Kluyveromyces lactis: one gene and its partners. The main gene of each other region encodes a partner of the protein of the gene in region 2 in a complex. Links are inferred from orthologs where the notes say so. Each region holds a gene or a part of one and is shown on either strand. Other genes may lie near its edges.

Evidence for each region. The genes of interacting proteins can lie anywhere in the genome.
Region 1: KLLA0_D06831g (region 2) and IES5 share a complex: the UniProt entries of both Saccharomyces cerevisiae proteins name them as parts of the chromatin-remodeling INO80 complex. The link is inferred for Kluyveromyces lactis from reciprocal best matches to the Saccharomyces cerevisiae genes TAF14 and IES5.
Region 3: KLLA0_D06831g (region 2) and PDP3 share a complex: the UniProt entries of both Saccharomyces cerevisiae proteins name them as parts of the nuA3 histone acetyltransferase (HAT) complex. The link is inferred for Kluyveromyces lactis from reciprocal best matches to the Saccharomyces cerevisiae genes TAF14 and PDP3.

Annotation. Positions count from the first base shown.
Region 1 is NC_006041.1:1,787,854-1,790,188, forward strand, and holds IES5 (Ies5p), read left to right. Parts: upstream 1-1,481; coding exon 1,482-1,835; downstream 1,836-2,335. Other genes in the region: MET6 (5-methyltetrahydropteroyltriglutamate-homocysteine S-methyltransferase), read right to left, coding at 1-459; KLLA0_E20087g (uncharacterized protein), read right to left, coding at 843-1,217; TORC2 complex subunit TSC11, read right to left, coding at 1,855-2,335.
Region 2 is NC_006040.1:588,334-590,998, forward strand, and holds KLLA0_D06831g (uncharacterized protein), read right to left. Parts: upstream 1,380-2,665; coding exon 1,371-1,379; intron 1,263-1,370; coding exon 501-1,262; downstream 1-500. Other genes in the region: AIM41 (Aim41p), read right to left, coding at 1,888-2,445. UniProt on the Saccharomyces cerevisiae protein: Functions as a component of the DNA-binding general transcription factor complex TFIID, the RNA polymerase II associated general transcription factor complex TFIIF, and the chromatin-remodeling complex SWI/SNF.
Region 3 is NC_006038.1:945,901-948,628, reverse strand, and holds PDP3 (Pdp3p), read right to left. Parts: upstream 1,515-2,728; coding exon 501-1,514; downstream 1-500. Other genes in the region: KLLA0_B10824g (pyridoxal 5'-phosphate synthase), read right to left, coding at 1-36; BSP1 (Bsp1p), read right to left, coding at 2,195-2,728. UniProt on the Saccharomyces cerevisiae protein: Histone-binding component of the NuA3b histone acetyltransferase complex. Targets the NuA3b HAT complex via histone H3K36me3 to the coding regions of actively transcribed genes to coordinate transcription elongation.

The sequences.
Region 1 (2,335 bases), on a different chromosome or scaffold from region 2:
TTCCAAATATTCATCAACTGGCTTTTGACCGTTCAATTTGAATTCAGTAGAGTTAGAGAAGGTTGGTCTGACATAATGGTAGTTGGAGTCAAACCATTTAACCATTTCCAAAGCTGGCACATCAACAGCAGCAGTGGTTTCGGTAGCCTTTCTTTGCAAACCTCTAGCCATAGCAAAGTAAGTGTCCAATGGAGACAATTCATACTTAGAGTAACGTTGTGGGATAACGTTGAACAATAGAGAAAGATCCAAGACTTGATCGTAGAAAGAGAAATCGTTGGAAGCAATGACATTGACACCAGCATCCTTTTGCAACTTCCAGTTAGAGGCCTTGATGTCCTTAGCAACTTGTTGTAATTGTTCAGCAGAGACCTTACCGTTCCAGTACCCTTCGGTAGCCTTCTTCAATTCTCTGTTTGGCCCAATTCTTGGGAACCCTAAGACGTATGATTGAACCATTTTGTTATTGACAAACTAATGTATGATTAGTGATTGGTTTGTTTGGCTTAAGATATTAAACTCAAACTGAATGATAAAGGAAATAAATCTGTATTTAAACAAAGTACACATAATTCCTTTTATTATTGTAATGATGAACAATTGTCACTCCTCAAATTACATCAAGAGTCGACTGCTTATATACATTTTTTTTCAGATCCTCTTTGGACTGAAGTTTCTGATCCAACAAACATCGTTTAAACGATGAGTCTTAATTACCTTCGGCTGCTCTAGTCGTTCCCACGAAAAAATCTGCTCAACTACAAAACTGCCACTATTACTACTGCTGCTACTACTACTTACTTTTGACTTGAGCTCATCGGAACGTAACAGAACAAAACTTTTCACCACAATTCACCAAAGGATTCTTTCTGCAGAGATGGGGCTCTCTCAGATACCATAGAAAAGCACATGTCGTCAAAATAACACTTCCCACGAATCGCACAGCATTTCACATGTGGTTTGCCTAATGGTTTCCACATGGTTTCCTGCACGGTGTTTTGACGTAAATAGTGTGGTATAAGACCGACGTAGGTTGGGCAAATGGTAACTGTCACGTGCTGTGCCGTAGTCATGGCTAACCGGTCACGGGGAATGGTTCGGACTGCAATGTGGCTCAATTTGGTCTGTAAGGGTGTGGTTGGGGCGGTGGTTGTGCTTGTTGTGGCGTTTTTATGCACTTTTCCAAAGCAATTTTGATCCTTTTTTTTCCACACCATCCTCCTCCTTTCTTTCACATGGTGACGATGACTTCGTGATACTTACCCGGATTGATTGAAAGAGCTCCAAACTGAACAGCATTTCCAAGTCACATGTATTTTCACGTGACCTACAGAAGTAGTAGACTGTCTCTCTCGATTGGAACTCTCTTTCAGCAGAAATTTAAGCCAGCAATTATCACTCTTCTTCTTAACTTCGAACAACTATTTACGAGGTGAGACGATTTTCTCCAGTTTCAGTGCTATTACCACCAAACATCCAATATGCCGACTTTGGAAGTAGAGCACAAGAAGCTTCTTAATAGAAGAGAAGAATTGCTGAAACAAGACGTTTCTCTTAGGAAAGATTACAGTATCTTGCTTCGCAAGATTACAAGTGTCTGCCAGGTATTAGAATCATTAGGTGAGCCTATTCACATCAATTTAAATGGATACCCCATCTTCCAACAGCCAGATTATCAGAAGTTTAAAGATTGGGATGCTCTGGTACCACTTTTGAAGAGTTTAGAAGAAGTGAACTCGTTGCCCTTGGATGAAATCGAGATCCCAGAAGCTTTACAAGAATCTTATGAATTATTTAAGATGACTCCATTACTATATAAGGATGGTTCTGAATGAAAGTTTGGCTTGTCCTGAATTATCTTTTTCTTCTCCTCTCGTTCCGTATCATGTTCTCAACGGCTCGTGTGTTGATGAACAGTTCCAACAAAAATTTTCGAACTGAGGGTTTGAATCGGTACTCTCCCAATAATTCATAAACTTGTTCAAACATTTCTGGGCTTTGGAATCTACTAGGCCCATACTTGGACTGGAGAGCAGTTATCTCTTTGATCGCACCATTCAGAAGGATATTGTTGCCCATATCGCTTACTATCCTTAGGATCCTATTGTTGATCTTGTCATCTTCAAACACATCTGGCAGTTTCGACTCATTTGTTTGGGATATCTCTCGGATCGCTCGTTCCAATTCTTGTTTGTCCTCTTCCTGCTGGTCGGGATTCACAGACGTCTCGGATCTTTCCCATTCCAATAAGTTGTCTAAAGGGATCTCATGGTCCCCAACTATAATGTTCGAATTCAGTTCATTGTTACATATAGACGCCGCGTTCTGATTGTGT
Region 2 (2,665 bases):
TGAGTTTTGACTCTTATTGTTCGAGGAACGTAAGGCTGATATGTTTGTAAACAACCACTTGTTAGTGACAATGCTGCTAGTGACAAACGTTATGGCAATATTAGATTAAAACATACCATTACAAAATCTTTTTCCATTATGTTAAGTGTTGACTTGATGCCAATACAGTTTTCTATCGACGGCTTGCGGACCGTTGTGCTACAACAATAGTAAAACATAATGGAGTATTGTGATATGCTATCATGTAGAATTTGATTCAAACTATTATTTTTTTCAGAGATAAGCTCATCGGTAGGAGGTCGACAATAATTAAAGTCAAGTCCAAGGGCGAATTCAATCAAATATTTCAGTGCAATTTTCCCTAGGCTTGATTTGTCTATTCATTATAGTGTTCATTTGGTACTTTTTCTGCAAGCAGTGCCTGTTAGTGGAGATGTAAGTTATAAAATACAACTACATAATTGTAATGGTTAAATTAGATAAACATGTGAGAGGTCCGGTTACTCGGTGTTTTTCTTGACGTATTCCCATAAACTCTTCAATAGACTTTCAGGCAAGCTATATAAATCAATAACGAACTCACCTTCTTCGATATTGTTCGTAATATTCATTTCTGGAGTTTTGTTATCAGTTATCATTTGTACTACTCCAACCAATGTATCCTCGTTTAGTTTTGTTAAGCCAAATGCTAACTTTTCCAAGTTCACAGAGCCTTTCACTGTTGAAGCGGAGGCGGTCTTGGCTTTTTTCGTTTTTACATCACCATTGACAGTAGATGCTTTTCTCTTGTCACCTGGAGTGGTGGCAGCTGTCGCTGTTGCATTTGGAGTTGCTGCTGCTGTTGATGCTACTTCATCGACAGGTCCACTTTTCTCTAGTTCTGCTCTTAGAAGAGGCTTATTGGTAGGAACTTGGATTACATGATCAATTTCATAGGCATCTTTCATGAAATGTAGGTCGTGAGTTATCTTCTTCTCGCCCCCTTTCTCAAGAAGATGCGCACTTATCAACAATTCAAAGCCACCCCAGCCTTGTTCTTCAATTCTAAAAGGAGGTTCCGTGAATGTTCTATGAGGGTTTGCAAAAGTTGGATGCAAATGATACACTACCTTATCAAATATCGTGGCTGGAATTTCGTTTCCTTGTTCATCCAAAAGAACTAATTCAATGGTCCATTGACGCATAGGAAAGTTTTCTACTGGAGGTGGTACATCCGGTAGGACAGATTGCTTGGTCTTAATTCTGACCGTTCTCTTCACAGTCTGTTTCCGAAATATTGAATAAAAGGTCTGTTAGTAAACTCATTGTGAAAAGAAACCTTCTAAAAACGAACTGAAGAAGCTTTTCAGTCTTTTTTAATCATTACATACCGACACCATCGTTGGTTGATTTGATTGGGGGTTATAAGCACGTCTAATGTTTCTCTTCTGGATATTTTCGTACTTGTAATTGCCATTATTTATCTCTGAATTTGAAATTTAGTCAATTCATGTTTTCAATGTTTGGTGAAATTTAGAGGAAGTACTACAATAAGGTGGAGGAAGGCAGTTGAAGATGCATGCAAGAGTTACGATTATGCTATTGTGGAGAGAGCAAAAGACTATCATGTCCATATTCTCCCCACTTAGTAGTTACCAGAGAGTATTGGTTACTATGTTTTATCACGTGATCTGGCAAAGCATCCTAGCGAACAACATGGCTTTATCAGAAGTCTTTAGATAGAGAATTGTTCACGTGAGTCAAATCCATTGCTGCGGCTTGATATTGCATAATTGTAAGTACATTTATTTACGGGATTGATGTGCCTACTTAATCACAAGGGCGTCATTCATCGGAGTTTTTTTTTTAATGAATGACTCTGTACAAGTTTGGTTTTAGCTAGGTGATTTATTGGAACACTTTCTTAAATTGAGAGCTAATACTGGACCTGATAGCAGCTGGAGATGCCTTCAATTCGCCTGGTAGTGTTTTCCAGTCAATTTTTCCGAAGACCTGCTTCAATTGTATAGATGGCTCTGATTCTTTTAGATCTGTTAAAATCTGCACAACACGAGCGTCTACTTCCTCCCTAGAAGCAACAGGCAAGGCAGTCTGATAATTCTCGAGGATCTTTATCTCATTGGCTTCTTTCTCTACCAAATCTTCTCTCTTATTTTTAACAAATTCAGCGATGGAGTCCTTCCTTTGCGAGATTAACTTGGCGTACACATCATACAATACAAATTCATCTAGATCCTTATCCTTACTGTCAATTTCCTTGTTCTTAATTGTAGATAGTACACCTCTAATGGTTGTCTTTCTTAGGTTGTCTTTTGCAAGCATTGCCTTCTTCAAGTCTTGTTTTAATGCAGCGATCCCATCAATGTAGCCTTGAGAACTGGCAAATCTAACAAAGGTTCTGGTCGTTGCAGTAGCGCGAACGCTTGGGATAACACATCTTAACATCTTTGTATTCGCTAATGATTTGGATGCTTGTCTTGAAGATTGAACCAAACGATCAAGATTATAGAAGGTCTATTAAATGTAACGTTTCTTTGTATTTGTTCATAGGTGCCGGTGTCTTTTGGGTTACTTGAATTTTCATAGAAATTATCATCAAGATGCAATTTTATTACCGTTGATCGGTTAAGTAAAAAAAAATATTCAGTGCAAGTCGCGCTTTTCT
Region 3 (2,728 bases), on a different chromosome or scaffold from region 2:
TACTAAATGCTCTGGCAAATCAACGGTAGTGGACATAACAACTTGAAAGTTATTGAAGTAATACTTGGCGTATTTGATAAACAATAAAAATTTACAGGAAATATAATTAAAATATCGGTTCCCTAATGTGCTAGCTTATGGGAAAGATGTCTGATGTTTGTAATGAAGTGCACAATTTTGCTACCTTAAAGTCATTTTAAAGGTTTTGGCAATTTTGTTAATAATAACAATTGATGGGGAACAGAGCGATAAACGTAAATAATGATACATTATGATTGAAGGGTCCAAGAAAAGAAGGAATAGGTACGGTGAGGTAACTGGAGAGGTGGTAGGGATGAGATTATGTAGGTTAATGTGATAGATTTTACATGAGAATAATGTCAGAATTGAATTGAATTTGTTATAAAGCAGTAATGCATTGTTTGTGCTTTCCTTTTGAACGGTTCTTTTGTGCTCTTATTATGAATCGAAGATATTAAAAGTGACAGTTGTGATCCACTCTATGGGGATAGCGAACCCTTCAGTTTCAGTTTTTCCTTTTTGATCTTTTGAACATGAGGTGCCCACACTTCCAATATAGTGTTACAAGATTCGTGAAACTGTGATAATTCAGGCATACTAGAAATGACTTTTAATAGTTTATGCAATTTGGATACCCTAAGGGCTTCTAAATCAAAGAATTCCGGTGTTGATTTAGTATGTGATAGGATTTTCCTCATGAGTTTATCAGACTCGGCAAGATCTGCATCTGTTGGTGGGGTATCTCGTTGAACCAAACACTTCTGTAATTTGTTACGGAATATTTGAGCAATCTCTACCCTACGTGAGTAGTCAAGCTTACTGCGTTTCTTGGGAGGTTCTTCTGGTACGAATGAAGGAGATGTCGAGAGAGATTCTGATGAGCTTTCCCTCTTCTTCTTGAAATCTGAAACAGATGTTGCGACAGGTGTAGATACCGGTGAGTCTCTATTTTTGTTTCCACTACTGGGCGACTTTTTAGCTTTGGTACTTCCGTTACTGTTATTATTGGAGGTAGAATCCTCTGATTCGCTTTCATTTCTTCTTCTGCCCCGTCTTTTATCCGTAGATTTAGTGTCTTCCAGTTTTAACTCAATATTGGAAAGTAATGGGTCCTCTCCCATCTTAACTTCAGCGATAGTTTCCAAATCATCCGCTCTTCCCTCCGCTGTCAACCTGTCTTCGACAAACTCTTGCAAACTCGTATAGTCGGATGCAAACTGGTAAGCTTTCTTCAACTCTTTCGAAGACCTTTTGGGCGGCGATTTTATCCACGCTTCTATATTTTCCTCAGTAAGAAGTTTTAACTGTTTTGGTTTAGTCCAATAATAGGTAGAATCGTTAAAAAATGCCACAGCAACTTGACCAACGTTCTCCTTCGCCTTCAGCACACTCTTACTCAATATCCGTTGAGGAACAACTACAGCTGGCCATGGTTCGTAACTGCCCACGGTGCAAAGAACCAGGTCACCAGTAACTAAAAGCCCGTCTGTCATATTTTGCTTAAATAGATTGTGTATTCGGATTGGTAAAATCTGTAAGTATAATGGAAAGGAAACTAAAACCCTAAATGTCAGGGCGTAAAGATCAAATAGTAAACTCTGATATCTCTCTTTCTCAGTTTCTTGAGCACTCAATAGGTAAACACAAATAACGGTTTCGACAGAAAGAATGCTAAACGCTAGAATAGAAGCTTTAAAATCTTACGCTCTAACTTCGCACTGGCAACACAAATAGCAAAGGAAAGAAGAGGCCGTATAACAGAATTAACTTGACCTCCTTCCCTAAATGAACTGAGATGAAAACGAAAACAAAACTCTTAAGCTACCAGTAATCACTTTTCTCACACACAACACCACAGTAATAGCTGCGTGTGTTCTGACCAGTGAAAGACTGTTTGGACGAAATATGAATGGGAACTTCGGCAATCAAAATTCCATATCAACTGCTCAAGAAGCATATATTGAATATAATTTGAAATAATTGATTGTTTTGTTTTGGATAAAAAAAAAGCTTTAAGGTCGGAAAATGGAATAAGTAATTAGGAATTAAAGGCATACGTATTTAGAAGGGTAACTTTACAAGATCAATGAACGCACATTAGCAGTTGACGAATGCGTTTTTGCCGGATTGTGCAACTAGTTTGTGGTTCGAGTTAATATGAATAAGGAGGTATTTACAATTTAGTGACGTCTGTTGGGAGCTTACGTTTTGGACCCTTAGAACGTACCTTTGTTAGCATTTTCTTTGTCTTCGCATTCAATGCGTCAGATGATGAGTTTGCAGATGATGCAGTTGACGACGCCAATGCCGATAGAGAGGCCTGACTACTGTTGATTGTTTTAATCAGTTGCTTTTGGAACTTTGAGCCATGCTTTTGTAGGCTCTTTAATGATGAAGAGGATTTCTTTTCAATTTCCGATTCCGTTGAGGATCTCAAAAGAGCTTGCCTCTTTGCCATCGCTTCAGGTATTTCTTCTACAGAACTGATAGAAGAAGGAGGTTTGTTCAGTTTAGACTTGGCTTTAACTGCTTCTGGAGTGATATCACGACGAGATGGTGCTGTGTGGGTCTTACGTAGCGATTTTCTTACAGCGAAAAATTCGTTTTGTTCGTCATATTCGTCATCGTCATCATCATTGCTGTTGTAAGCATCGTCATCAGATGGTAACGAAGGTCTTGATGATCTCACTTTAGGGTTTCTAAGTTC